Callithrix jacchus: one gene and its partners. The protein of the gene in region 7 interacts with the protein of the main gene of each other region in a pairwise test. Links are inferred from orthologs where the notes say so. Each region holds a gene or a part of one and is shown on either strand. Other genes may lie near its edges.

Region 1 (4,612 bases), on a different chromosome or scaffold from region 7:
CTGGTATAAATCTTTAACATATTTTGTTAGATTTATACCTAAGTATTTCATTTTATTTTGGTGCTAATGTCAGTGAAGAAATCCGAAATATGAACTGCTCTAAAATGTGAAGCATTTTGACTGCTGACATGAGGACCAAGGGAATGGCTCACCGGACCATTTTGGTTTTTGGAGTAGGGATGGTAAAGCTGTAATTATATAATGAGAATTTCATAAATGCCAAAAAAAATCCAAAATTGGAAACATTTCTGGTCCCAAGCATTTTGGCTTAGGATCAGCTTGTTTTAAACTTGTTCATGAAAATTTACTGTAATTGCTTTTCATTCTATTTTTTAGGGGAGGGGTGTCAATTTTCCTGGATTTTCTATGTTAGATAACCATCTCATCTGAAAACAAAAAGTTTTATTTTCTCATTCCCAATCTACCTTGTGATTATTTTTAAACGTCCATTTTCATCAGCCTAACTACATATAACCTTACTGAGAGCAAAGTTTTCTTTTTTTATTTTTAATTTTTTATTGCATTTTAGGTTTTGGGGTACATGTGAAAGTTTTCATCTTTAGTTGTCACCTCTTTTACCCTCAGATTTTTTTTATTAGTTTTGCCAGATATGATTGTGGCACTAATTTAGCTATAAACTGCTTGTAAATGCTATTTTGTCAAGCACTCTACAGTATTCCACGGTAACTATGATTATTCTTGGGTAAACTGTGCCTCAGTCTGTCTGTAATGCGATGTTGTATTTATTTTATAGACTGATGTGAAGACCAAATAAGACTATACACTAAGTTCGTAGAGCTATGGCTGGCACATCATCAGCCCTCAAGAAATCATCGTTATGTTTTTGTATTAGGAAACAGTAATTACTTTTGCGCAGCACCACACAGAACTCTCAACAGCGAAGGAATATCAGCTCAGGCGGACAAAGATTAGTAACTTCCCCTTCGACCCCCCACATTTCAAACAGAAAAATAAGGCAGGAGTTGAGAAGGGGTAGTGAGTGAGAGGAACATTTGTGAGCCTATGGTGGAGAGGTACAGCAAGAGGAGAGTGAGGTTAGGACAGCAGTGGTGGAAGTCGAAGGCATCCCAAGAGGGAGCATGGGCTCCCGAGACCTGTTTGAATTGTAGGCGACCAGAACCAAGCGACCGTGAGCTGCTATACACACGGTAGTGAGTGGGTGGAAAGGGGCCAGCGGGCACGAACTGCCAGAAGAGCGGAGAAGACGCGGAGCATAACCGCGGGGCAGCGGCCAGTTGGCACAGCGGGCCACCTGCACGGCCCTACATTGCCAGATACCGGTAGCTGCAGGAACTACCCACGCCCAGGTCCCTTTACTCCCGCCGCCCGGTTACCTAGGGAACCGGATCACCTGACCCGGGGCCGTGCGCCTGCGCGGGCGGAAGGCGGGGGCGGTGCCGTGACGCGCCTCGGGGGCGGTCCTCCGGCTCTCGCCGCTCTGCTACCCTTGGGCCTCAGAAGTCCGTGCCAGTGACCGGAGGAGGCGGCGGCCGTGAGTGAGTCCTTGTGGGCTAGGTGAGAGGCCGAAAGGGGGCAAGAGGGACGCCGGTGCCGGGTCCCGGGCGCGGGGACGTGGGGCAGAGGCGTGATGGTCCCCGGGCCTTTTAACCGAGAGCGTCCTGGTCGCAGCCGTTTTCGGGAGGCGGCGGCGACGCCCTCTCCTCAGGGGCTCCGCGCCCCTCCCTGCGCCGTGCTGGCTGCGGGGCAAATTTGCGGGAGCAGCGCGCTCTGCTCCCCGGGACCCCGCGGGTTTCGAGCTCCTCTCCGGGCTGGGGCTGGGGCTGGGGTGGGTAGAGCCCCGAGGCACGGCCGGGTGAACGCCGGCAACCGCGGCCCCAGCTCTGGGATTCTTCCTGGGACCGTCTCTCGATCCTCGTTGTTCTCGCTCGCTAAGATCTCGAGACAAGTAAAGAAAGAGCCTCTGGCCGCGGTTTCTCCCCGCGTTTCTTGGGCTGCGCTTCCTTTTGGGTTATTTGGAACGTCCTGTCTCCCCGCGTTTCTTGGGCTGTGCTTCCTTTTGGGTTATTAGGAACGTCCTGGATTTGAAAGCAGGAAGGAGGTGTTTAGTGGGCGAAACCTTGACTTGTTTGGAAGCGGGTGGGGAGAGGTTGTTCGCCCTGAGCTTTTTCCTGGTGCTGTTGGACCTGAAGGAGAAACGTTTCCCGCAGAGTATGTTTAGAAGGAAATACTCCTGAGATCTGATGACTCACAGCTTTCCTTTCAGGATTTCCTTGTAATGATGGGAAAGGGAAGGCATATGGATGCGGAAAGTTTTTACTTTGATCAAAGTGGGATTATTGAGTCATGGAGGCTTCGAATGTGCACATTTTTGAAAGGAGTTTCTAGGATCATCTATTCTATATAACCGCATACACATTTACGGTTATTTTTTCCATTACGTACTTTCCTTAGAAAGTACACTCGGTTTACCGAGCTCTAACATCCGCTTGTTTAGTCTCTCCATTATAAACGAAATTGAACTTCAGAGACATTTTTAGTTTTGGGCATTATAGGAAAAGATGTAAAAGTCATAAAAGGGGAAGAATTTGCTAATGGTTGCCAGTTAAATGTACTGTTTAATTAAACAGTTTCTTAAAATGTGCGTGGCACAACTATTTTCCCTGTTGCCAGATTTGGGTCCTTTTTATAGGTATTAAATGCCAAGAGATTATAAAAAAGGAAAGCTCCCCAAACAACTTTAAAATACTTTCTACACTTAGTAATAGTTACGTTCACATTGATTAATTTTCTTTCAAGTGCTGCCAACATCTTTTGTAAATATTGTCTTCGAGTAGGTAAACGGTCACGTGTCTCAAAATTTAAGCAGCATACAAAGGTATATAGTATGAAGTCTCCTTCCTTTTGGCAGGCAGCCAACTGTTTTAAATTTCTTGGGTATTCATCCGGGAATATCCTATCTACACAGGCAAACATACAAACTGCATCTGTCTCCTTTCTTTTAACATAAACGTTAACATTTTATATACTGCTCCACATTTTGCTCTTATTTTTCCAGTTATTGATAATATTTTGGAACTTTCTAATATCAGCATATATAGCTTTCAGGTCTTTGGCTGTTACAGTCAGTGCTGCAGTGAATGAACTTTTACATATGTTGCTTCCTTTGTGCACATGTGTTTGTACAGTTCAGGTCTTGAAATGATACTGCAGAGTTGAAGGGTATTTGAATTTAGAATTTTAGTAAGCTACTGCAAACTCATTCTCCATGGGAATTGTACTAGTTTACGCTCCCACTAGTAGTGTATGAGTGTTTCTCAAAGCCTTGCTGTCGGAGAGTATTGTCAAACTTTGGATTTTTGCCAGTTCAGTAGCTGAGAAATGGAATCCTAGGGGTAAGAATTAATTATTCTACTTAGAGTGGACTTTATATGGACATACTTCTTAATGCCTGATCTTCAGAAACTCCCAGGATATTTATTAAAAAGCAGAGTACCTAAGTCCTTCCATGAAATTTGTATCTGTTCAGGAAGCTGAGGTTTTTTGTTTTTTGTTTTTTGTTTTTTTTGAGAGGAGTCTTGCTCCGTTGCCAGGTTGGAGTGCAGTGGCGCAATCTCGGCTCACTGTAACCTCCGTCTCCTGGGTTCAAGCGATTCTTCCGCCTCAGCCTCCCGAGTAGCTGGGACCACAGATGCATGCCACCACGCCCGGCTAATTTTTTTGTATTTTTAGTAGAGACAGGGTTTCACGATGGCCAGGATGGGCTCGATCTCTTGACCTTGTGATCCGCCTGCCTCAGCCTTCGAAGTGCTGGGATTACAGGCGTGAGCCACCGCTCCCGGCCCAGGAAGCTGTTTTTATAATAACTAGAGCCTCTGGTAATTTGGCTCTGATGAATAGCCATATTGAGAACATTGCTCTGGAAGGCTGCTTAGGATATATAAAATTGTGTTTCTAGACTCCATGTATGAGCTATCTGGAATGCTTACCATCTGGGGGACATGTTATTTTTTCATTTTTTTACTTTTTATTTTTTTTGAGATGGAATTTTGCTGTGTTGCTCAGGCTGGTCTCAAACTCCTGGGTTAAAGCAATCCTCCTACCTCGGCCTCCCAAAGTGCTAGGATTACAGGCATGAGCCATGGTTCCTGGCCTGATACTTTATTTTTATTTTTTACATTTTTCATTCATTTTATGAATAGTTCGCATAAGTGAAAATAAAGAGATAATGCAACACAACTTTACTAGAAATTTTAATAACTGCTTCAACAAAAGAAACACAAATTAGTATTCCAGATTTTCCTGGTTTTGAAGATATGGATAGTTGAAATAGGCAGCATCTTTAAATTTAACTAATTGCTCAACTGTCATGTAATATTTTTTAAAAATCAGTGATTCTGTAGTCCTAAATTTTTATTTTTCCAAAATGTTTTTAATACAGTGGTTCCCAACATTTTTGGCACTAGGGACTGGTTTCATGGAAGACAGTTTTTCTATGGACAGGATGAGGGGATGGTTTCAAAATGAAACTATTTCACAAGGAGTGTTTAACCAAGATCACTATAGGGTTCCTGCTCCTATGAGAATCTAATGCTGCCACTGGTCTGACTTGAGGTAGAGCTCTGGTGGTAAT
Region 2 (3,992 bases), on a different chromosome or scaffold from region 7:
TCGTCCTTGGGGGACAGTGCACGGGAGAAACCGCCCTCTAGTGGCGTAAAGAAAGAGAAGGACAGAGAAGTCGGCAGCCTGAAGAAGAGGTCTTTGCCCCCCTCGGAAGCTGCTTCAGACAACCACCTGAAGAAGCCAAAGCACAGAGACCCGGAGAAAGCCAGATCAGACAAAAGCAAGCAAGGTCTGGACAGCTTCGATGCAGGAAAAGGAGCAGGGGACCTGTTGCCCAAGGTCAAAGAGAAGGGCTCTAACAACCTAAAGACTCAAGAAGGGAAAGCAAAGACTAATTCGGATAGAAAGTCACTGGGCTCCCTCCCTAAAGTTGAGGAGACAGATATGGAGGATGAGTTTGAGCAGCCCACCATGTCTTTTGAATCCTACCTCAGCTATGACCAGCCCCGGAAGAAAAAGAAAAAGATTGTGAAAACTTCAGCCACAGCACTTGGAGAAAAAGGACTTAAAAAAAATGACTCTAAAAGCACTAGTAAAAACTTGGACTCAGTTCAGAAATTACCCAAGGTGAACAAAACCAAGTCAGAGAAGGTGCAGCCGGCTGGAGCCCATTCAGCCAAGCAGAGAAAGGTAACCCCTTCAGCCCCTTACTGGCTTCCCACCCAGAGCACCGGGCCCTGCAAAGCTCAGAGGATCGCCCTGTCATTGTTTTCCTTAGCTTGCTTTTAGGGGACCTGTTGAATTTCAGTTTGCAGTAATTTCCTCTGGGCTTCACTAGTTGTCAAGGTAGATTGTACCCCAAATAAGAATCTCCAGCACTATTCTGTTGTGATGGGCCCATCTGTATTTCTTTCCTGACTGAGGTGTTGTCAGACATGACTGTGGCCCCCCCAGCCTGGATCTTCCTGTGCAGGGTGTCCCGTGAATGCTCCTGGGAATAGCCTGTGGGAAAGGGGGCTGTGCTGGTACTCATGGTCTCTCTCCCCGGGGTCTGTCCCCTGCAGGTGCCTGATGTGTTGCCGGCGTTGCCAGACCTCCCGTTACCCGCAATACAGGCCAATTACCGTCCACTGCCTTCCCTTGAGCTGATATCCTCCTTCCAGCCAAAGCGAAAAGGTAATTTTCTATAATCTTCTTTTTCTTAATGGAGAAAAGATTTAAAAATTCATTCAAGGCAGCGTGCAGTGGCTCACACCTATAATTCCAGCACTTTAGGAGGCTGAGGCAGGAGGATTGCTTGCGGCCAAGAATTCTAAACTGGCCAGGCGCTGTGGCTCATGCCTATAATCTCAGCACTTTGGGAGGCCTAGGTAGGCATATCATCTGAAATAAGAAGTTTGAGACTAGCGTGGCCAACACAGTGAAACCCCATCTCTACTAAAAATACAAAAATTAGCCGGGCATGGTGCCACATGCCTATAGTCCCAGCTACCTGGGAGGCTGAGGCAGGAGAATCGCTTGAACATGGGAGCCAGCAGTTGCAGTGAGTCATTGCATTCTAGCCTGATCAACAAGAGTGAAACGCCATTTCAAAAAAAAAAAGTTTTGAAATAGGGTCTCACTCAACCTCAGCTGCCTGAGTAACTGGGACTACAGGCACATGCCACCACACCTGGTTAATTTTTGTATTTTTAGTAGAGATGGGGTTTCACCATGTTGGCTAGGCTGATCTCAATCTCCTGACCTTGTGATCTGCCCGCCTCAGCCTCCCAAATTGCTGGGATTGTGGGAGTTAGCCACTAGGCCTGGCCAAAAAAAAAAAAGAGTTCTAAACCACCCTAGTCAACACAGCAAGATGCCATCTCTACAAAATAAATAGCCAGGCATGGTGGCACATACCTGTGGTCCAAGCCGCTCAGTAGGCTGAGGTGGGAGGATCACTTGAGCCCAGGAATTCAAGGCTGCAGTGAGCTATGATTATATCACTTCACTCTAGCTTGGGTGACAGAGCAGTACTGTTTCAAAACAAACAAAAAACTTCTATCACTATACCATCAGATTTTTGGTGTATTTCCTAAGTGCATATACTCTGAAGTTTGATGGCTTGTGTTTGAATACCAGTTCTGGTTTCTAAAAGTTATATGACCTTGAGAAATATCTTAATTTCTTTGGACCTTAGTTGTATATTGAGTAAATGGGAGTTATAATGGCATCTGCCCTATAGGGCTCAGTTTGGTGAATTCGAAAGTGAAGTCTTTTAGCTCTGGGCTTATCACATAGTAATTGTTCAGTAAATTGATGCTGCTATTAGCAGCCCTTTATTCTATTTTTTACCTATGATTTTTGTCTGAAAGAAAAAAATGTCTAACTTCCATAGCAAAAGAACTAGAAGCCACATAAGTGTCCATCAGCAGGAAACTAACAGATAAATCATGGTTTATCTACACAGTGGCATCCTATGCCACAGTGAAAAAAAAAAGTAGAATGTCTTTATGCACTGACATGGAATGATCTGTAAGATGTGTATGTTACTGATTAATTGGCTTAAAAGGAATAAGAGACATTTGCTTTTTTTGTTTTGTTTTGTTTTGTTTTGAGAGGGAGTCTCCCTCTGTTGCCCAGGCTGGAGTGCAGTAGCTCCATCTTGGCTCACTGAAGTCTCCGCCTCCTGGGTTCAAGCAGTTATCTTGCCTCAGCCTCCTGAGTAGCTGGGACTACAGGCGCGCACCACCATGCCCAGCTAATTTTTGTATTTTTAGCAGAGATGGGGTTTTGCTATGTTGGCCAGACTGGTCTTGAACTCTTGACCTCAGATGATCCACCAGCCTCCCAAGGTGCTGGGAATACAGGAGCTTATTTTTAAAGTCTCTGGAAGAATCTACAAGAAACTGTAGCATTGATTGCCATTGGGAAAGGGAAAGGGAAGTAGGGGCTGATGTGGGTAGAAGGAGAGTTTTCACTGGATCACTTAGGGCCTTTTGTAACTTCCTGTTGGGTTTTTCTTGCCCTATAGCATTCTCTTCACCCCAGGAAGAAGAAGAAGCTGGATTTACTGGGCGCAGAATGAATTCCAAGATGCAGGTGTATTCTGGTTCTAAATGTGCCTATCTCCCCAAAATGATGACCTTGCATCAGCAATGCATCCGAGTATTAAAAAACAATATCGATTGTAAGTCACACGCTTCTCTCTAGCTCTCAAGCACATTGTAGCATTTGGACCTTATCACTGGGTGGCTTGGCTGCTATTCAATGCCTTCACCTTTGATTTCTCTGCAGCAATCTTTGAAGTGGGAGGAGTCCCATACTCCGTTCTTGAACCTGTTTTGGAGAGGTGTACACCTGATCAGCTGTATCGCATAGAGGAATACAACCACGTGAGTATTCTGTTTGGGTGGGAAGAGGGCAGTTTTCTCGCTTGTTCCTCCAGAAATTTGTGACTGCCTATGGCTGAAGGGCAGATCAGTAGTCACAGCACTGTTCTGGGTCTATGTGGTTTGCCACTGAGGCTTTAAACAAGCATGTTATTAGCACTTGCTCCTGGCATCTTAAGTGGGCCTCTTGGGCTAGGATCAAGGTGGGATTCAAAGGGAGAAGAAAAACACTTTTAACACCTCCGTTGAGCTTGCCTGGTCATGAAGGTCAAGGGAGAATTCTGGCAGCAGAGCAGCTGGGACCCAGGGTGGGGATACTACTTCGTGTTGACACTGACATCTGGTGGTAGGCTGGATGTCTCTTAAGAGACATCACGATCTATCCAGAAATCCTCCTTATGATGTGGATATATACATTTGATTGCAGCAGCTGTCTCTAATTCTGAGAGTTCTGTAACTTAACGCCTTTTTCTTGGCGGTGGGGGAAGACAGGGTCTACCTCTGTTGCCTAGACACTGCTGTACAGTGGCCTGATTATGGCTCACTGCATCCTTGAACTCCTAGGCTCAAGCGATCCTCCCAAGTAGCTGGGACTACTAGCACATACCACCACACCCGGTTAATATTTTTATTTTTTGGAGAGATGGACTCTCAAACTCCTAGCCTCAAGTGATCCTTTCATCTTGGCCTCCTGAAGTGCTGGAATTGCAAGCATGAGCCACCGCA
Region 3 (3,992 bases), on a different chromosome or scaffold from region 7:
TTTTTTTATTTTTTTTTGAGACCGAGTTTCACTCTCATTACCCAGGCTGGAGTGCAATGGCACGATCTCGGCTCACCACAACCTCCGCCTCCTGGGTTCAGGCAGTTCTCCTGCCTCAGCCTCCTGAGTAGCTGGGATTACAGACACGCACCACTGTGCCCAGCTAATTTTTTGTATTTTTAGTAGAGACGGGGTTTCACCATGTTGACCAGGATGGTCTCGATCTCTTGACCTCATGATTCACCCGCCTTGGCCTCCCAAAGTGCTGGGATTACAGGCGTAAGCCACCGTGCCCGGCCAAAACATTTTTACGTTAGGGCTTTTCTAGCTTTTTTCCTCATGCACAGGAAACAATGTTTCTCATTCCTATTCAATACTCACATCTGTGACTGAAGAAACAGCACTTATTGTAATTGTGTTTGATGCACTGCAATTTTCTACTTTATTCCCTTAAACTCAACACATACATATAGGCTGGTTGCAACCCATTAAAGTGATTTTCATCATCCACTAGTGGGCTTTGAATCACAGTATGAAAAATTTTGCCTTCGATTTAAGCTATCAGCTAATTTTTCCTAATTCACTCATCACAATTTGTTGTGGGAAATTAGTCTGCTGTTTGAAAGAAGATAAGAATTGCAAGAAGAGAAGAAAGGTTTTGCCCAGAAGGGCTGTTAAGCTGCCCAGGGGTGAGGGTAGGGGCAGTGAGTGTCCAAGGAGTAGAGGAAGCCATGGCAAGGCAGCTGGGGGCAGGACAGGGCAGGGTGTGGCCGTGCTCCCTAAGACTGGATCGGTCTTAGAGTTCTGAGTGGTCTTTGAATTCATTTAGTCTGACTTCCCAGTCATTCTAGAAATGAAAAAGATGTTTTCTCTGCGTTTATACTCTATTTTTCTGAGAGTCACAGCAATGCTCTAAAAATGGTTATTTCAGAAGGAAACTCTACTGTTCTTGTTATCTTTTGTGTCACTGGTACTCCTGTACTTTGTGGTTTTGATTTTAGAGACGGCCTCACCCTGTTGCACAGTCTAGAGTGCAGTGGAGTGATTTTTTGTAGACACAGGGTCTTGCTGTGTTGCCCAGGCTGGTCTCAGACTCTTGGCCTCAAGCAACCCTTCCACCGTGGCCTCTCAAAGCCTGGGATTCCAGGTGTGAGCCACTGTGCTGGCCCCATGACGTGTTTTTATGGGTAAAACAGATCAATGTAAGTAATTCTCAACTTGAAATACTTTCACAACTATAGGAGGCAGCTGTCAGCACCTAATTTTTCTGATGGTAATTCGGTTAGTCCGACTTCCCAGTCATTCTAGAAATGAAAAAGATACTTTTCTGTGTTTAGACTTTTTCTGAGAGGCACAACAGTGCTCTAAAAATGATTCTTTCAGAAGGAAACTTTCTACTGTTCTTATCTTTTGTGTCACTGGTACTCCTGCACTTTTTGGTTTTGTTTGATTTTAGAGACAGGGCTTCAGCCTGTTGCACACAGTAAGTACTGTCCATGTGTCCCCTTGTATTTAACCACCAGAGAAACTGTGTGGAAATCCCAGTAAGCTAGGGAGTGGGGTGGTGTCCAAGTGCCCCGCGCCACTGAGCCTTGCTGTGTCTCCACAGGCCTCGGCAAGACGCGCAGGAAGACCAGCGCGCGGGACGCGTCCCCCACGCCCAGCACGGACGCCGAGTACCCAGCCAACGGCAGCGGCGCCGACCGCATCTACGACCTCAACATCCCCGCTTTTGTCAAGTTCGCCTATGTGGCGGAGCGGGAGGATGAGCTGTCCCTGGTGAAGGGGTCGCGCGTCACCGTCATGGAGAAGTGCAGTGACGGTTGGTGGCGGGGCAGCTACAATGGGCAGATCGGCTGGTTCCCCTCCAACTACGTCCTGGAAGAGGTGGATGAGGCGGCTGCAGAGTCCCCGAGTTTCCTGAGCCTGCGCAAGGGCGCCTCGCTGAGCAACGGCCAGGGCTCCCGTGTGCTGCACGTGGTCCAGACGCTGTACCCCTTCAGCTCCGTCACCGACGAGGAGCTCAACTTTGAGAAGGGGGAAACCATGGAGGTGATCGAGAAGCCTGAGAACGACCCCGAATGGTGGAAATGCAAAAATGCCCGGGGCCAGGTGGGCCTCGTCCCCAAAAACTACGTGGTGGTCCTCAGTGACGGGCCCGCCCTGCACCCTGCGCACGCCCCACAGATAAGCTACACCGGGCCCTCGTCCAGTGGGCGCTTCGCAGGCAGAGAGTGGTACTACGGGAACGTGACGCGGCACCAGGCCGAGTGCGCCCTCAATGAGCGCGGCGTAGAGGGCGACTTCCTCATTAGGGACAGCGAGTCTTCGGTAAGTGCGCTGCGCCCGCTGCTTCTCCTGGAGGCAGTAAATGCGCCTTGCAAGGTGGCTCTGTGTGCCACACCCTTTTCACATTGTGCGAAGTGGGAGATGTAGATGAATGCAATTTAGTATAACGTTGGCTACTCCGTGATTTCCTTACATCTGCTTTGGGGATAGTATGTGTCCATTTCTGGAGTTGGAAGGTTAATTAAAAAATTTTTTTTAGCTCACAGAGGTGGTTCTGCTTCTCTCCTAAGATTCCCCCTCTTGTATTTTACGGGCTCAAACATCATTTTCTCTCCTGGTTGCCCATTCTGTGTAAGCAGAAGGCCCAAGTGATTTACTTTGTTTCTACTCGGTCTGTCTCCCAGAGAAAGCAGTCACTGCAAGCCTTGTGGCTGGTTTCTGACACTGCCTTTTGTTGTTTGCTTGCTTTTTCTTTGTAAACCATATAATCCCAAGGTCATTGCCTCGCCAGGCAGCGCCACTGAGTTCATCTCTGAAAAGCTTTTAAAGCACTTAGGAGATGAATTGAAAAGAAAACAAGGGTTCTTAAAAGAGATGAGTTTTGTGTGTGTGCAGTGAGTCGGAGATAGGAGGTCACTCGACTGGGGCAGCAGACCACTTCCAGCAGTGGGCAGGCTGTGGGGGTAGTTTCAGGCATGGGGTCAATTGGAGCCTGCATCCCAGAAGGCAGCCTTTTTGGGTGTGATGGAAATACTCCACCAGTTTTGCAAACGTCTTTCCGAATACGCTTTCTACAGAGAGACCCCCAAAACAAGCATTTGGGAGATAGAGTTTGATGTATTTGTATTGTATTGGTTCTAGTAGGCTTCAGTTTCATTTTTAAATGCACACTATAAGACTACTATGTACTACCTACTGCCACTGTTGTCCTCTGAAAAGGTTACTAGCACCATGAGTAAGTGTACATTCAAGAGTCCTGTTGACTGATCTGAGAGGCATTCAAAGCCTTCCAGAAAGAGGCAACTGCTTCTCTTGGGGGAAGGAGCATCGTGGTGGTGGAGACTGGGCTCCTTTATGGTGTCATCAATTTTGTGGAGCCTTAGATGTACTTGGAAGGGCATGCCAGCCTGAAAGCTAACTTCATCTGAAATCTGAACTCTGAGATTTTCTTATCAAGTCACCAGGGTTTATCATTCCTGGCAAGACATCACATTGAATTGTTCTCACATGATGAGAGCTCTGTGCACCACTTCCTTTAGATCATGTTTGAAGCCTTAAGCAAATTAAGGACAGCAGCGCTTTTAACTCAATCGAGCAGAAACTTAGAGAAAGCGCTGGAAAACCAATTACAATATTAAGTGCTTGGTCCAGAGTGCTTAAGGGCTAAGGATAATGCACAAAATATGATCTTGGCTTAAAATTCTTGAGTTTGAAGAGACTTCTCAGAGGGAAGTCCTGCAGTGTGGAGATATTGGCCCCAATCATTATTCTTTCTTCCTAGGATTTGGGGAAAAGAGGAAAGACTTTAGAGGGTAAATGAAAAAGGTGTTCTCTGCGGTGGTGGCCTTAGGGAAGACCTATGGCTTTTCTGTTTAACATGTACAGGTGGTCATTGCTGTCTGAATTGAGGGCCAGATCCCTTTGGATATGGAGTGATGCATGTTTTGGCTGCATTTCCTCTCAGAACTCTACACCCCACTGTC
Region 4 (3,992 bases), on a different chromosome or scaffold from region 7:
TCTGTGTTGGTGTGCACTGTACGTGACTTTGGATGATTCACATCATCTCTTGGGCTTGGGTTCCACATCTGAAGAGAAAGGTCAAGAGGAGAGTGCTCTAGGGACCTTCCTAGTTCTAAGTGTCTGCAGCGCTGGGCTGTCTCTAACTTCCATGAGAAATAATTAAATAGGCTTCCTACTTGTGGCTCAATTAGCTGAACTATAGAATTGCAAATTGTTGGAGGTAGAAGGGGTCTGTGGTCCAGGGTGGGGATGAAGCTTGTCCAAGGAAGCTGGTTGGAGGCGGAGCCAGGGCTAAAACCCTCCTGCCTCCTGCAGCGCTTATTTCAGGCTGGTCACCATTCCCCTCTTCCAATCTCCAGTTTCAAGTAAGATAAAATCAGGCATACATGTATGCATTTTTTCATATTTAAGTGACATTGATTTAATTTGGTTTTGAAAAATGTCTAATGCCGTTGAAATAATCTGAGACACCCTGAGACAGTGCAAAAATTGGCACAATCATGGTGGGAAGAAAAATTACTGGAAATTCCAGCCCAATTGGCCACTGATTCACTGTTGAATTAGAATATGTCACTATGGTGAACTGCCTCTGTAAAAGGGACTCATTGGGGAGGAATTGGTTACTTACCCACCAGGGCTAAACACCAGAGATCCACACTCTATCCTGGCCCAGGAGTTGCTCACATAGAATTATTTAGGACATTAGTAGATTCCTAAAAAGCAAGAGCTTTGATGCATCTTAATTCCCCTGCACTGAAGTCCCAGGAGGTAGCCTGAAAACAACCAGGCAAGGCTGCTATGATGAGGGTATGAAGTTCTAATCCTGGCTCTGTCCCCAAAGTGTAGTGGGACCTATCCTTGTGTCACTATGCTCATTTATGGAATGAGTGTCCCCTGAAGCTCAGACATATTAGGATTCTAAGCAGAAATGTGAGCAGAATCACCTGGCCTTCCTCTCCTACTGGCTTTTCATCACTTCAGTAACCGCTGCTGCTGAAAATTAGGGTAAGGAATAAAGGAAAGGAGGGACAAATGGTGAGCAGGCACTTCAGGAGTTATTTTTATACATATTATCACATTAATAGGCATATCAGTGTATCTTGCTTTGGGAGAAGGATTTTTATCTGTAAGTGGTCACCTCAGATGCCTGAACATGGATGTCACTACCATTCAGCAGTTGCTCCCTTGATTGTCATCTCAGAGTACAAGGAAGGAGCTGTCTTTGACTGGGACTGTTCTTGGGTGCTGGAGTCTTGCCCTTGCTTTTGGATGGTGTCTAACTGAGCCTTTCTGGGATGTAAAAGAAATTACCACGGATCTCTGTGCAGTTACTCTCCTTAGCCCTCTGCATCCTGCCACTTGCTGTCTGGATGATGGCTTCCCATCAGGCAGGGGAGCCCCAGCATTCTGGGGAGATACAGGAGCACGGTTTAGGACCCAGCTTACAGGGCCCACCGCTTGTTTTCTGTAGCTGTCTGGCCTTGTGATGGAGAATGCATGGCTGAGAGGTCCACAGGCTGACCTCTACCTGTTTGGCTCAGCTGGATGTCAGTTCTGCAGTGGGTTTTTACCTTCAAAATCTTCAATATCTATCACATTAGGTAAGGTGGGTAGTGCTGTAAGTAATTGAGGGTCAGATCTAGGCTAGAAGGGAACTGAAATGCCATCTGCTCTTGCTAATCACCTTCAACCAATAAGCCACATGTCCCAATAAACACAAAAGTGAGCAATGCAGTGAGCTAACACAGCCAACCTTTGTTTGTTTGCCTTTGTTTATTTGCCTTCCCTTATGTAAGTCTCCTTATGTAATCTGGCCTAAACCACTGGAGTGAAGGTTAAGAGGTAACTTCAAGTTAGACACAGAATGGGCCAAGGTTGTGGGTAACCGAATGTGTATGTTTCTGAGAGAGTAGTCCCCAAACTAATCAGAAAAGATTTTCAGGTTTCTCTTGTTTGGAGTTTTTGCCTTATTTCTCCCTTTCTTTGTTATAGATAATCAGTAGCTAACTGTAAGGGGAGACTTACAGGCATAGACATTCTGCCTGGTTTTATGACTGAGCCCAGCTCTCTGGTAGGAATCTATCTGAGCTGATTCCAGAGCAGTTAACTCAATGGAGTGGATTGGACTGTTCTAAGGAATAGAGTAAAATTATACAGAAAACCATCTTTAGGTCACATTTCTTCTTTAATGGGGGCAATGGGAGTTTTCTGAGTGCCAGTGAAAGCCATTGTCTTTGAGGCCCAACTCCATGAAGCCTTGGAGAGCACAGATCCCATTTCAGTAGGCCTGGATTGAACTCACCTTTTCCTTTCACTCTGCTCCAGAATTGAGCTCCGAGCCCTGGGCAAGATCTCGGAAGGAGAGGAGCTGACTGTGTCCTACATCGACTTCCTCAACGTCAGTGAAGAACGCAAGAAGCAGCTGAAGAAGCAGTATTACTTTGACTGCACGTGTGAACACTGTCAGAAAAAACTGAAAGATGACCTCTTTCTGGGGGTGAAAGACAACCCCAAGGTACACACAGCCCTGTTGCTGGGGTGTTTGTGTCCATCTTCTCCAGGAGACAGTCACAGGTGGTTTCACAGCTAATCAGTGTGCCCTGCCCATGAGCTTCCTAGGGAGCAGCTGTCACCCTGGGGAGGTGGCAGAGGATGAGAGCAGAGCACTATATGGGTAGGTCCCAGCTATGTCCTGGCACTGCCACTTATAGGTGTTTGAATTTGGGAAAGTCGCCCAGTTTTCTCAACTGTAAAATAAGAATGATGGCCCCAAAGCAAGAGGTTCTTAGAAGGATTAAAGAAGATGATGTGTTAAAGGAGTGGCATGCAGAGTAGACACAGCAAGTTCTGGTTTCTCCTCTTGCTCTTTTCTGAGTTGAGTGATGCTGATAATTTAAGATGTTGAGATCAGATGGGCAAAGAGATTTGTTCTCTGGCTATCACAAAAACATTCCTAGTCCCATGGGGATGGGCAATGTGGAGGCAGGGCTATGTTTAGATTGGTCAACATCCTGAACTCCTGGGTAGCTATTGCCAATTGATGGTGAGTGTGTTGTGCAGCAGAGGAAGGCTTGATGAGAGGAGGTCAGGAACCCAGCTGAGCTGGGAGAAAGAGCTAAGCCACCAGGTGTCAGAGTAGCCAGTTAAAGCAACAAAGCAGAAATGAGAGCGAAGTATTTAATCACTGATTGCAATAGTATAAGCAAGAAGCTAAAACCAAAGAAAGCGCTGACTCCTCTTGTGCGTTTCCTCCGGTGAAGCTGTGTTCAGGGGGAGGATGAGGGAGATCAGTAAAGGCATGGAGGCATTTCCCATGGCAAGCTCTTTTATAAGGGTACCAGTCATATTGGGCTAGGAGCCCACTCTACTTTAGTATGATCTCACCTTAACAAATTACATCTATAGTCACCCTATTGCCAAGTAATATCTCACTCTGAGGTTATTTCTGGGGCTAGACTTCAACATATGAATTTTGGGAGGATGCAATTTAACCCCCAACACTGTGTATGCTACCACTTATGAATGTTAAAAGACACATACACACACATACAGACACACGCACACACCTGTGCCTGCAAGCATACTCTGTCTATACAGACAGAAGCAGGAGGAGGGAACTGTGACCAGTGATGCCTGGGGTGAAGAGATTGAGAGTCACCCCTCCCAGGCAGAGACAAAGCAGTTGGGGCCCAAGGATTAACGTTTTCTATGGGAACAACCTCCTTTTCAGAGAATCAAAGTTTCTGTATTCTAGGAGATGTATGTTGGATGTACGTAAGAGGCACTGAGCACTGCCTCATAAGTGCTACAGAAGAATTGGTTATTGCACCCGCCCTCACCCTGACTTTTCAGAACCTGAGGATAACATGGCTTATCTGTGAGCCAGCCAGCCTTCCCTCCTGGAGACTAGCCCTGAGTATTTGTTTCATAACTTGCTTCCACACTACTTAATTTTTTTTTATTAAGAGGCCAGACCTTCTTTTCTCGTT
Region 5 (3,992 bases), on a different chromosome or scaffold from region 7:
TTTTGTGGTGCTTTTTTTTTTTTTTTTTTTGACAGAATATTCCATCACCCAGGCTGGAGTGCAGTGGTGTGATCACACCTCCACCTCCTGGGTTCAAGGATTCTTCTGCCTCAGTCTTCCAAGTAGCTGGAAGTAGCTGGAATAGTAGGAATTACAAATGTGCACCGCTATCCCTGGCTAATTTTTGTATTTCCAGTAGAGAGGGGGGTTTCACCATGTTGGCCAGGCTGGTCTTGAACTCCTGGCCTGCTCGCCTGGGCCTCCCAAAGTGCTGGGATTACAGGTGTGAGCCACCACACCCGGCTGTATTTCCTGGTTATTTGGGAAACAGTAGAAATTGTGCGCAGGAGGAAAGGGATAATCATAGTGAAGGTGGACAAGGACAAGATGATCTTTCAGACCAACAATGTGTGTAAGATCAAAGGCTTGCAAATCTATTGTAAAGGAAAACAGCCCTTCACATAGGGGTCATCAGTCAGTTCCCACGGGAAATTTAGTGTTCTGCTGAGTGGTCCTGAGATTTCCAGGGAGCCTCACCACACTCTTTAACTATAGTATAGGTGAAATATCAGTAGTACCAAGGTAAATTCTAGGACCCGGCAGTGCAGGGAAGGATGTTTCCTTTTTCTGGGTTCAGAGTCTGTTGGCAGAAATTTCAAAAGAAGGCATTTTTCTACTGTTCTGGTACCATTTTCCCCAGGCTACTCACAATGGCAGTCCGGCTGTCTCCCTTCAGGTATTAGCCTACAATACAGATGCTTCCTTTCTTAGAAATAAAGCTACCTGAATGGAAATTTTTACTCAATATGGATGACACATTAATCCCTAACCATTCCATTTTTAACAGATATATGTATTAATTCAGAGGAACTTCTATAATTAATGTAATTCTGGCAAAGTGTGAAAGAACTGAAAAATTTCATGCTCAGTGTTGGTGGAGGGGTCACCACAGCATTTTAAAGAGGAACAAGTGAGACCATATGAGTTCCAACTGCTGCTCTATATTTTCCAATGGTAATACAGTCTCCAGCTTCCAACCTAAAAATACGCATCCTAAAATCTCCACTCATATGCAAGATCTCTTTATTCTACCATTCATTCTCAAGTATTTAACTGAACACCATGCCAGGTATAGAAACACAATGTTAAACCAGATAGATAAAGTCCCTGCTTATCTCATGTATATTCTAGCAAGGGGGGGAGGAGGGGAAAAGTAAAATAAGCAAGATAATTTTGGTTTGTGATAAGTGCATGCTAATAACTGAAGAAATATGATGGGGAGCAGACAACCAAGTTTAGACAGTGGTGATCTGAGTAGGCTTATGAATAGCCGAAACATGAAAGATTAGGAGCTCATGCAAGATCTGAGATAAGCGTGTTCTTAGAGGGGCGAAGAAAAAAGACCCTCAGTAGGCTGGCACTTGGGGGAGAGGGGCTTAAGGAACAAGGGGCTGGAGCAGCTAGTGTTGGCACTATGGTATGAGTTAAGACTAAAGAGGAGGGGGCTTAGGACATTCAGGGTCTTATAGGCCATGGAAGGAAGTTTGAGTGATTAAATGGTTTTAAGGAAAAAAGAGAATTATCTGATTTAAAATTTTTATGTTTCTATTCCAGCTAGTATGTAAAGTTTATGGGGGCTAGAGTGGGAACAGAAACAGTAGGAGGCCAGGTGGTTTGAACTAAGGTTGTGGCTGTAGAGCTAGAAATGAACAGACTTAGGACATATTTGGATTATATCCCATAGAATTTGCCAATGATTTCAATGTGGGGATGAGGGACAGAGATGAATCAAAGATGGCTTCTGGGTTATGGGTTGAGCAGTTGGTTGGATAGTAGTGTCAGTACTGAGATGAGAGTCTGTGGGGAGGAATCGATGAGGTCAGTGAGTCATAGTGGTCTTTGAGGGACCGAGGAGGACAGGCATGATTCTGAAAGATTTTTGAAAGAAAAGGGCAGTTTTTAGCTAACTTTGGTTTCAAGTTCACAGTTAAAGTTGTGGTATGGGGCATTAAAGAGGTCTTTTATGCACTGAGAAGAATAAGCAGGGAATTCTGTGATCTGGATCTCGGAAGAATTTAGTTTCCTTCCTTCATAGGGTTGTTATGAACTAGATTTGTCCAACAGGAAAGTATGATAGATGTGAATTGGGGCTTCTTTTCAACCTTTCCAAAAGCTCTCAAGCTGTTCTTGTGGATAAGGCAGAGAATATATACTCGAATGAAAAGACTTTTGGTTGAATTATAATTGGCCCAGGGTATATCCAGACTGTGGGGATTAATGTTCAGACTTTCCTGAGAACTTTGCCTTTGGCTGTGTCCCATTCTGGGTCTTGAATGAAGGTATAGAAGGCATCATATCATACTAATTTGGTGGGAGGGATATTAAGTATGTCTGATCTGATGGCAGATTAAAAATTCAGAAAGGTCTTGGCAAGTTGGTGTGATAGGCTGAACTAGCAAGATGAAATTTAGTAGGAATCAGTCTAAGGTCCTGTGCTTGAACCTAAGGTTTTCCATCTGGTCAAGTATAGAGCAAAAGAGACATGACTTAGCATAGCATTTCTTGGAGGAGGGGGAGACCAAGAAATTTAATCTTTCCTGAGTCCGAGGATACATTGGCAGTGTACTAGATCTGTTATGACAGCTAATGCAGTTTATACGGTCAGTGATAATATCTAGAACTGGGAAAGTAACACTTGCATTTGACTGTGTAATTTATTTTTCTTAATATGGCATCCAGGAATAAAGATAAATTAGCAGTCCTTTCACAGACTCGTAAGAATGGCAAAGAGACTCAAACCCATTCCCTGGGAGTTAAGTTGAAGTAACTGGGAATACAGAACCAGGAAATGAGAAAACTTAATGTTCACTTTATAGCTGTGACTTTGAAAGGGGATCAGAGATTTCCTGATGGTGCCCAGGGCAACAATGGATGGAATTTATAGGGTGAAAGACGCCAAGTCAGAGACATTAAAAAAATAGGAGGGCCTGCCTTATGTAAAGTACACTTCTGCCTCCTGGGTTCAAATGATTCTCCTGCCTCAGCCTCCCAAGTAGCTGGGATTACAGGTGCTCGCTACCAGACCCAGCTAATTTTTGTATTTTTAGTAGAGACAGGGTTTCACCATGTTGGCCAGGCTGGTCTCAAACTCCAGACCTTGTGATCCTGCCACCTTGGCCTCCCAAAGTGCTGGGATTACAGGCATGAGCCACCGCTCCCAGACCGGCAGTGTTTATGAGTTGATGGGATGTGTAGAAGGAATTCCTCTATCTCATGGTCACTGAACCCGATGACCTTTCAAGATCTTGCCAACCCTGAGGTACATGGATAACTCTTTTCAGCTTTCTCCTCTTGTCACAACTGTTTGCCTTTTTCTACTTGGTGGCTTTCATGGCAGCTAAAGAGGAGATAGCAGATGCACTGTTTTGCTTCCACACGTGTCTGTTTTCTTAAGTCAGGACCTGCATATGCTGCTGGTTGACAAGCTTTGTAAAAACCTCCCTTTTTCAGCACAATGACTTGTTACATTGTATTTCTTACATTGTTTTTGTCTTCCCAGGTGACTGTAGGACGAGGATTTGGTGTCACATACCAACTGGTATCAAAAATCTGCCCTCTGATGATTTCTCGAAACCACTGTGTTTTGAAGCAGAATCATGAGGGTCAGTGGACAATTACGGACAACAAGGTACAGAATTCATGGAAGCCTAATGAATATTATTTATTTTAAAATTACTTGGGGTTTTTTTTGCACAGGTAATTCATGGTATAAAATTCAAAAGTATAACTTCTTCTTTCCTAGCCATCCAGTTTCCTTTTCCAGAGGCAGCCACTTCCATATGCTGCCAGAGATTGGATTATGCTAAAATAATTTCTCTTGATTTGGGGTGAAGTTTGTTACCTTGAAGATAATGCCTGAATTGGGGTAGGAGGTCCTATTCCAGAAACTAGACTAAGTTACTGGGCAAATTAGCCTGTTTGAGGCGAAGCTC
Region 6 (3,992 bases), on a different chromosome or scaffold from region 7:
ACAGAAGTGCCTCCTTCCAATCCTTGGCAGAATTGGACCAGAACCCCTAGTCCGTTTGAAGACAGGACCGCTTTTCCTTCCAAATTAGAGACAACCCCCACTACTAGCCCATTGCCTGAGAGGAAAGAACATATAAAGGAATCTACTGAAATACCTAGTCCTTTTTCTCCAGGTGTACCATGGGAGTATCATGATTCCAATCCCAACAGGAGTCTTAGTAATGTCTTTTCTCAAATCCACTGCCGCCCGGAATCTTCTAAAGGTGTTATTTCAATTAGCAAAAGCACAGAGAGGCTTTCTCCCTTAATGAAAGATATCAAGTCCAATAAATTCAAAAAGTCACAGAGTATCGATGAGATTGACATTGGTACATACAAAGTGTATAACATACCATTAGAAAACTATGCTACTGGGAGTGATCACTTAGGAAGCCACGAACGACCAGATAAGATGCTGGGACCAGAGCATGGTATGTCCAGTATGTCTCGAAGCCAGTCAGTCCCGATGCTGGATGATGAGATGCTCACCTACGGAAGTAGTAAAGGGCCACAACAGCAAAAAGCTTCTATGACAAAAAAAGTCTATCAATTTGACCAAAGCTTCAATCCTCAAGGATCAGTGGAAGTGAAAGCCGAAAAGAGGATACCACCCCCTTTTCAACACAATCCTGAGTACATGCAACAGGCCAGCAAAAACATCGCCAAGGATTTGATCAGTCCTAGAGCTTACAGAGGATACCCACCGATGGAGCAGATATTTTCATTTTCTCAGCCATCTGTGAACGAGGATGCTGTGGTGAATGCCCAGTTCGCAAGCCAAGGGGCCAGGGCAGGCTTCCTGAGAAGGGCCGACTCCCTGGTGAGCGCCACAGAAATGGCCATGTTTAGGAGGGTCAATGAGCCTCACGAGCTGCCCCCTACTGATAGGTACGGCAGACCTCCATATAGGGGAGGGCTGGATCGCCAAAGCAGCGTTACAGTGACTGAGTCCCAGTTCCTGAAAAGGAATGGCAGGTATGAAGATGAACACCCTTCATATCAAGAAGTGAAAGCTCAGGCGGGAAGTTTTCCAGTTAAAAACCTTACCCAGAGGAGGCCATTGTCTGCAAGAAGCTACAGTACAGAGAGTTACGGTGCCTCCCAAACCAGGCCAGTTTCAGCTAGGCCTACTATGGCAGCTCTTTTGGAAAAAATACCATCTGACTATAACTTGGGTAACTATGGTGACAAGCCATCAGATAACAGTGATTTAAAGACGAGGCCTACTCCTGTGAAGGGAGAGGAGAGCTGTGGTAAAATGCCTGCAGACTGGAGACAACAGCTGCTTAGACATATAGAAGCTAGACGGTTAGACAGGGTATGTCTGGCGTTTCTCTGTAAGAATATCCCTCCTGCCTTTAGTGTTACTTTATTGGCATTTCTAAGCACATGTAGGGAAGCATGAACTACGTGAATGAATTAGATGATCAGTATTTATCTTTATATTGTGGGGGAAATGGATCATAATAGTCTTTCATGGATATGACTAAATGCTCTCTGAGAGTTCATAACCTGCAGGGGCATTATTCATCAAATCTAACCTAAATATTGTTAGTAAGAAAGAATTTGACTCCAACCGTTAGAGGGGATGGTGCTTCAACTGCTTTCTAGCCATTAAGGCAAAATGCCTCTCCTAGGACACAAAACTGTTCTCTAGTGACCTAAAGAGTATGATTTTTTTATTAAACCTATAAAAGGAATATTTCCCCCATTTCTGAATGGACTCACTTATATTAAAGTCAGGCCTAATTTGTTTATAGAATTTACACATAGTTACTGCTATGGGACTACCAGTTATTATATCTAATGAGCAATAATCTTCCCAGTAAGAAACAGAAAAATAAGCAGGGATTAAATGCTCTCCTACACATTATTTTATTTAATAAAAACCCTGGCATTTAGAATGTTGGTTTTTATACAGAAAGAACTGTTTAAATTCAAATTATACTGCAGACAACAAAAATATATGATGTCTTTATGAAGACAACAAACATACAAATTAGTGTATATATTGCATCGAAAAAGAAAATTAATTCTAATTCAGTTAAAAATTGAGTCGCAATAGGCCAGGCATGGTGGTGGTGGTGACTCATGCCTGTAATACCAACACTTTGGGAGGCTGAGGTGGGCAGATCACAAGGTCAGGAGTTCAAGACCACCCTGTCCAACATGGTGAAACCCTGTATCTACTAAAAGTACAAAAAAATTAGCCAGGTGTGGTGACACATTCCTGTATTCCCAGCTACTCAGGAGGCTGAGACAGGAGAATTACTCGAACCCGGGAGGCGGAGATTGCAGTGAGCCAAGATTGTGCCACTGCACTCCAGCCTTGGCGACAGAGTGAGGCTCCATCTCAGAAAAAAAAATAAAAATACAATTAAGCCACAAAAAAGCATGTAATATACAGGGATTGGGGACAGTAAAAAAAATCATATGAAGCATGGAATTACATTTTGTTGCTTTTCAAATCTAAGAGAAAAAGAAACCTGATATTTCATTTTCTAGAACTATTATTAATTGACCATTGCCATTCAGTATACTTTGTAGCTTTAGTGTAGAGGGCTTAATGTGCTCTGCATTGATATTAGAATCTTAAAAATCCTTTTTGTAAAAATGGGGCTTTTTGTTCTCATTTTCTAGGGTTGAATGTTCAGCGTAAATTGGGGATCTGGGTAATAATATACTACTGCAATGTCTCACTCAGTAGTTTTATTATTTTATTTGGTGTCCTGCTAAAAGCACAGGTCACTGCATTTATTGTGTATTTCTTTAATACTGAATTTTATGTTTACAGATTTACTCTTTTCAAATAGTTATATTGCTTGTAGGTCGTGTCTACATGACAAGAAAACAATTTTTTCAGGGAAAGAGTTAACTAATAAATGTGGGTGTGGGTGTCTCAATGTGGAAACTGATTCTGCCTTGCAAAATATTTCATCAGAATGTCTGTTTCAAATAGGTTTGCTCAGTCCCATTGAAGGGATCCTCATCAAAGCCTCATGACTGGCTGTCAGTGGGAGACACCTGGTCAGTTGTCACCATGCCTTACCTCAAGTATACCCTCCATGTAGACAGATAACTTGGAGGGCGAAAATATTTGGGGCCAAATAATACAGTACAGTTTGGGAACTCTGGCCTTGTGTAGACACGACCATACATAACAGGGTAAGATGAACTAGTCAAGAAAGGTTGTAAGAAGCTTTTTGGAGCATATGTACAATGACTAGCAATTTGAGGCAACAGAGGAATGAGTGAAAACAAAGAATGAAAAAGAAAAGATAAAATTCTAAGCATTTGGTACCATCACTTAGTTACAGGTGTCCAGATCACTGGTTTCTCTCCTTTGATCCCAGCTACTGAAAAGTAGGTAACTCTTCTAGATGAAGCAAGAATTTTAAGCAGGAACATCGGGTTAGGGGAGAGAGATTTCAATCAGCAAAAGTTTGGAGGCCCTGCATATCCCAGATAACAAAAAGCGAACTCGCGTATTTTTTCATTGCTGTGACGACACTTCCTTTCTTAGTTGGTCTTCTTATAGCCTCTGTTTGTGTACAGTTCCCTAGGTGTCTTTTATTTTTCAAAGCAATTTCAATGTACATTCAATAGCTTCTCACTTAATTCCAATAAATTAAATGACCTTAGACTATCGCTTTGAGCTATCAGATCCTAGAAGCTCTTTCTTTTGTTTTCTCCAAGTCACATTTCTTTCTATCTTTCAGCTGAGTTAACTGAGCTATTCAGGCTATATCTTTCATAAAACTTCCCAGCTACTCAACAAGACAAATTCAAGGTACTGAAGCACAGACATTATGTAAAACTAGTTTTGACATAGCTGTGCTGCTTAACATTCTGTCCAAAGGCAGACTGCACCATAGAAATAATGTGCTTCTTTCCAGTGAAATTTAATTGAGTCATTTGAACCCTGAAAACCAAATAGTTACACTGGAAATTACA
Region 7 (3,588 bases):
CAGAACAAGTTGGTATTGGAATAGGTCCTCCAGCTCTTAGCAAGCCCACCCAGACGAAAGGATTGAAGGTAGAGCCTGAGGAGTCCTCTCAGATACTGCCACTGCCACAGAGTCACCAGAAGTTAAAGGAGTCCCTGATAACACCTGGCAGTGGAGCATTCCCCCACCAATCAGATTTTTGGCAAGATCTTCAAAGCAGTGGCCTCTCAAAGGAGCAGGCAGGCAGGGGTCCCAACCAGTCACACGGCATAGGTACTGCTTCCTGGAACCACTCCACAACTGTCCTCCAGCCACAAGCACGGGATAAGCCCCCACCAACTGCATTAATTGCCAGTAGTTGTAAGGAGGAGTCAGCATCTAGTGTTACTCCCTCTTCTTCCTCTACCTCTTCTTCCTCTTTCCAGGTACTATCTAATGGAGCAACTGCCACCTCCAAACCCCTTCAGCCACTAGGCTGTATCCCACAGTCAGTGTCACCCAGTGATCAGGCATTACCCCCACACCTGGAATCAGCCTGGCCCCATGGGCTACGGCATAACTCATTACCAGGTAGGGTTGGTCCCACAGAGTACCTATCCCCAGATATGCAACGCCAGCGAAAGCCCAAGCGCAAAACCAAAGAGCAGCTGGCTATCCTCAAATCCTTTTTTTTACAGTGCCAATGGGCACGGCGTGAAGATTACCATAAGTTAGAACAGATCACTGGTTTACCTCGGCCTGAAATCATTCAGTGGTTTGGTGACACACGCTATGCCTTGAAGCATGGGCAACTAAAATGGTTTCGGGACAATGCAGTACCTGGTGCCCCTAGTTTCCAAGACCCAGTAATTCCTACACCACCTCCACCATCAACCCGCTCCTTGAATGAAAGGGCTGAGACACCACCTCTGCCGACCCCTCCACCCCCACCGGATATGCAGCCCTTGGAGAGGTACTGGGCAGCCCACCAACAGCTACGGGAGACTGATATCCCTCAACTGAGTCAGGCTTCAAGGCTTAGCACCCAGCAGGTACTGGATTGGTTTGACTCTCGATTACCTCAGCCAGCTGAAGTGGTAGTTTGTCTAGATGAAGAAGAGGAAGAGGAGGAGGAAGAACTGCCAGAAGATGATGAGGAAGAGGAGGAGGAAGAAGATGATGATGATGATGATGATGTGATCATACAAGACTGAGTGGGGAGCTGGGGGAGGGGAGGTCTGTTACTAAAAGATGAACCAACTTAGCAACTGTTTAAACAAAGAAACCACATTTTTAAAATTACCTTGTGGCAGAGAACTAAAAAGTTTTGTGTTCTTCAGGGTGGGTGGCAGGGGAATGTAGTGAGGGTGAACCAGGGAGGATGACCATAGGGCACTAAGTAAGGCTGGGATTGGATCAGCAGAAATCCAGACCTCTAAGCTCAGTGTAGAGTGTACCAAGGATCTGGAGAAACCGTGGGCTGGGAAATGGCATTTGCCCTCCTCATGCCTGCTGTTCTTTTCCCTTAGTGTACTATAGAGAGGCCAGACCTTGGCCACACCTCTCCAGGAGGATTGGAAAGGAGTAAAGGATTCTAATTCGATTGATGATTCCAGTGCATCCCCAACCCTACCATCTTTCCTGGAATATAAGGCTCCCTTGCACTCCTTTTCTGAACACAAGTCTGTGTGTAATGCAACTGACTCTCTTACTTTTTTTCTTAATGACTGATCATTTCCTAGACAACTGAGATTCTCAGTAAGTCCCAGTCTCATCACAAATATTAACTTCCTTTTCCTCATACATCATGATTTTATATGTTTCACCTGCTTCATGACTGAATCACAGGTGGCAGAATATTTTCATTTCTTATGCTGGGACCACCCTTTGCCTTGTAGCTTTTTCTCTCTTTCCAAAATCCTCACTCTGTTCACTATTTGTCTCAGGGTAAATCTTCCCCCACTGAGCTTGTGAAAAACTTTAATTGGGTGGAGAATAATTTAGAATGGATATTTATTAGAAAAGAAGACCTTTTAAAAAGTAGAATTATGTTACAAAGGGGTGAAAGAGAGGGAACAGTTTCTCCTGGTTGAAGGGCAGTGGAGGTAGGTTTCAGGTTTGGTTTTACAAACCTCATAACGACCTTCTGTCCAGCTTGACAGAGACTAATTCTTCATCTTTTTGCTGCCAGTTTGTTTCCAGAAAAGAGACTTTTCCCTCTCTTTATAGGATCTGTCTTAGGGACAGAGGGACCATGGTCTTTGAGTCAATCAATTATTGATGTTTTAGAATGGTTTTCATTAGTTGGGAACAGCTATATGGCAAATAGGTATCATCAATGAGTTAACCATCTAAAAATAAAAGAGTGGAAGCCCTAAGATGCTAGAATAGTAATAAAAAGGCCAAAAATAAAATTGTTTCTCTCTCATCCACTTTGCTACTGCTATGGTTTAGGGATTAATGGAACCAAATCCATTAACATTCGAATTCAACATACTTTTATTGTTTGAAGGGGCAGGACTTATTGAGGTAAATTAAAAGAAAAACAAAAACTTTAAAAGGAAGTAGCTCAGCATCTATCACCAGGCAGATTGTTTCTCAGCCATCAAATGATAATGACTAAAATTTCTGAGGCTTCAGGAGTAACAGAGATACAAGAGTCTTGGAGGTAACTCCATTTGCTACAGAACAGGCTCTTGCCCAAAAGAGAAGGTGTCTAGAAATTCCTTTAAAAATAAATTCAGAGTACCAGAAAGGGTATGGGGATCCTAGTTCAGATAAACAAGATAATTCCCAAGACCTAATTTATTTCTGACAGATGCCTGCTATTTTCTGTTTTCCCAGTATTTTTGCTTAAGGCCAGTTTGTGAGTGGCTAACATATTAAATTCCTCATTTCTGCCATTTAGTACCCAAAGTCGAATACATGTTTGATCTCAGTGGTAGTGTTGTTTGCCATTCCACCATTCCAGAGCTTGTAATAGTGATAGAATCGTAGCAATAAAAGGACATCCTCTTAATTTTACTACCTATATATTTTACTAAGCTGAAAATCAGTGTTTCTAACAGTTGTTTTCAATAGAAAGGAAAATTAACATATTTAATAGTAATTAAGCATAGAGGAAACAATAGGCAAACAGAAAAAGTACAAGGACAAAGAACAGAGATGTTTTGTTTTGCTTGTTAACACTGACAATGGGAGAGTATATCCAAAGCTAAAAATTAAAACCAGAAATGAAACAGTGATGCGTATATGACCCACCACATCCCCATTCCCAACTCCCAACCAAATATGATGCCAAGAATTATTTTTACAATCTTTGTTTCAAGTTGTAGGAAATGAGGGAAGCTACCTGTGTCTTCTGGAAGAGATATAAACATCATCTTGAAGCGCTAGCCTTTTCTAAGACCTGACCACTGTCCTGGGAGGAGATAAGGGTGAATAGGGTAAAGATGAGGAAGCATAAGGTAGAGTGAAACCAGGAAACAACACCAGGGTACTTTTTCCAGAGCCATCACCCCAATGGGTACTGGATGCTACAGTCTATCTTTCAGCAGTATGTATACATCAGACCTTGAAGATCGTCTATCTAGAAGTGCTCCATGCTCCTCTTCTACTGGGTAATCCAGT

Evidence for each region.
Region 1: the proteins of HOMEZ (region 7) and SDCBP interact in binary tests that used the Homo sapiens proteins (3 or more experiments, as listed by UniProt). The two-hybrid records come from large-scale screens. The link is inferred for Callithrix jacchus from reciprocal best matches to the Homo sapiens genes HOMEZ and SDCBP.
Region 2: the proteins of HOMEZ (region 7) and ELOA interact in binary tests that used the Homo sapiens proteins (3 or more experiments, as listed by UniProt). The two-hybrid records come from large-scale screens. The link is inferred for Callithrix jacchus from reciprocal best matches to the Homo sapiens genes HOMEZ and ELOA.
Region 3: the proteins of HOMEZ (region 7) and NCK2 interact in binary tests that used the Homo sapiens proteins (3 or more experiments, as listed by UniProt). The two-hybrid records come from large-scale screens. The link is inferred for Callithrix jacchus from reciprocal best matches to the Homo sapiens genes HOMEZ and NCK2.
Region 4: the proteins of HOMEZ (region 7) and SMYD1 interact in binary tests that used the Homo sapiens proteins (3 or more experiments, as listed by UniProt). The link is inferred for Callithrix jacchus from reciprocal best matches to the Homo sapiens genes HOMEZ and SMYD1.
Region 5: the proteins of HOMEZ (region 7) and RNF8 interact in binary tests that used the Homo sapiens proteins (3 or more experiments, as listed by UniProt). The two-hybrid records come from large-scale screens. The link is inferred for Callithrix jacchus from reciprocal best matches to the Homo sapiens genes HOMEZ and RNF8.
Region 6: the proteins of HOMEZ (region 7) and LRRC7 interact in a two-hybrid assay, tested with the Homo sapiens proteins (2 studies listed by BioGRID). The two-hybrid records come from large-scale screens. The link is inferred for Callithrix jacchus from reciprocal best matches to the Homo sapiens genes HOMEZ and LRRC7.

What each region holds. Positions count from the first base shown.
Region 1 is NC_133517.1:14,796,556-14,801,167, forward strand, and holds the start of SDCBP (syntenin-1), read left to right. Parts: upstream 1-1,490; 5' UTR 1,491-1,517; exon of another isoform or gene 1,518-1,536; intron 1,537-4,612. UniProt on the Homo sapiens protein: Multifunctional adapter protein involved in diverse array of functions including trafficking of transmembrane proteins, neuro and immunomodulation, exosome biogenesis, and tumorigenesis.
Region 2 is NC_133508.1:60,494,423-60,498,414, forward strand, and holds part of ELOA (elongin-A), read left to right. Parts: coding exon 1-585; intron 586-959; coding exon 960-1,071; intron 1,072-2,908; coding exon 2,909-3,064; intron 3,065-3,171; coding exon 3,172-3,269; intron 3,270-3,992. UniProt on the Homo sapiens protein: SIII, also known as elongin, is a general transcription elongation factor that increases the RNA polymerase II transcription elongation past template-encoded arresting sites.
Region 3 is NC_133515.1:15,944,816-15,948,807, forward strand, and holds part of NCK2 (cytoplasmic protein NCK2), read left to right. Parts: intron 1-1,609; coding exon 1,610-2,331; intron 2,332-3,992. UniProt on the Homo sapiens protein: Adapter protein which associates with tyrosine-phosphorylated growth factor receptors or their cellular substrates. Maintains low levels of EIF2S1 phosphorylation by promoting its dephosphorylation by PP1.
Region 4 is NC_133515.1:26,030,662-26,034,653, reverse strand, and holds part of SMYD1 (histone-lysine N-methyltransferase SMYD1), read left to right. Parts: intron 1-2,328; coding exon 2,329-2,518; intron 2,519-3,992. UniProt on the Homo sapiens protein: Methylates histone H3 at 'Lys-4' (H3K4me), seems able to perform both mono-, di-, and trimethylation. Acts as a transcriptional repressor. Essential for cardiomyocyte differentiation and cardiac morphogenesis.
Region 5 is NC_133505.1:45,698,139-45,702,130, forward strand, and holds part of RNF8 (E3 ubiquitin-protein ligase RNF8), read left to right. Parts: intron 1-3,559; coding exon 3,560-3,688; intron 3,689-3,992. UniProt on the Homo sapiens protein: E3 ubiquitin-protein ligase that plays a key role in DNA damage signaling via 2 distinct roles: by mediating the 'Lys-63'-linked ubiquitination of histones H2A and H2AX and promoting the recruitment of DNA repair proteins at double-strand breaks (DSBs) sites, and by catalyzing 'Lys-48'-linked ubiquitination to remove target proteins from DNA damage sites.
Region 6 is NC_133508.1:107,306,837-107,310,828, forward strand, and holds part of LRRC7 (leucine-rich repeat-containing protein 7), read left to right. Parts: coding exon 1-1,356; intron 1,357-3,992.
Region 7 is NC_133509.1:57,617,531-57,621,118, reverse strand, and holds the end of HOMEZ (homeobox and leucine zipper protein Homez), read left to right. Parts: coding exon 1-1,172; 3' UTR 1,173-2,989; downstream 2,990-3,588. Other genes in the region: E3 ubiquitin-protein ligase RNF212B, read right to left, coding at 3,544-3,588. UniProt on the Homo sapiens protein: May function as a transcriptional regulator.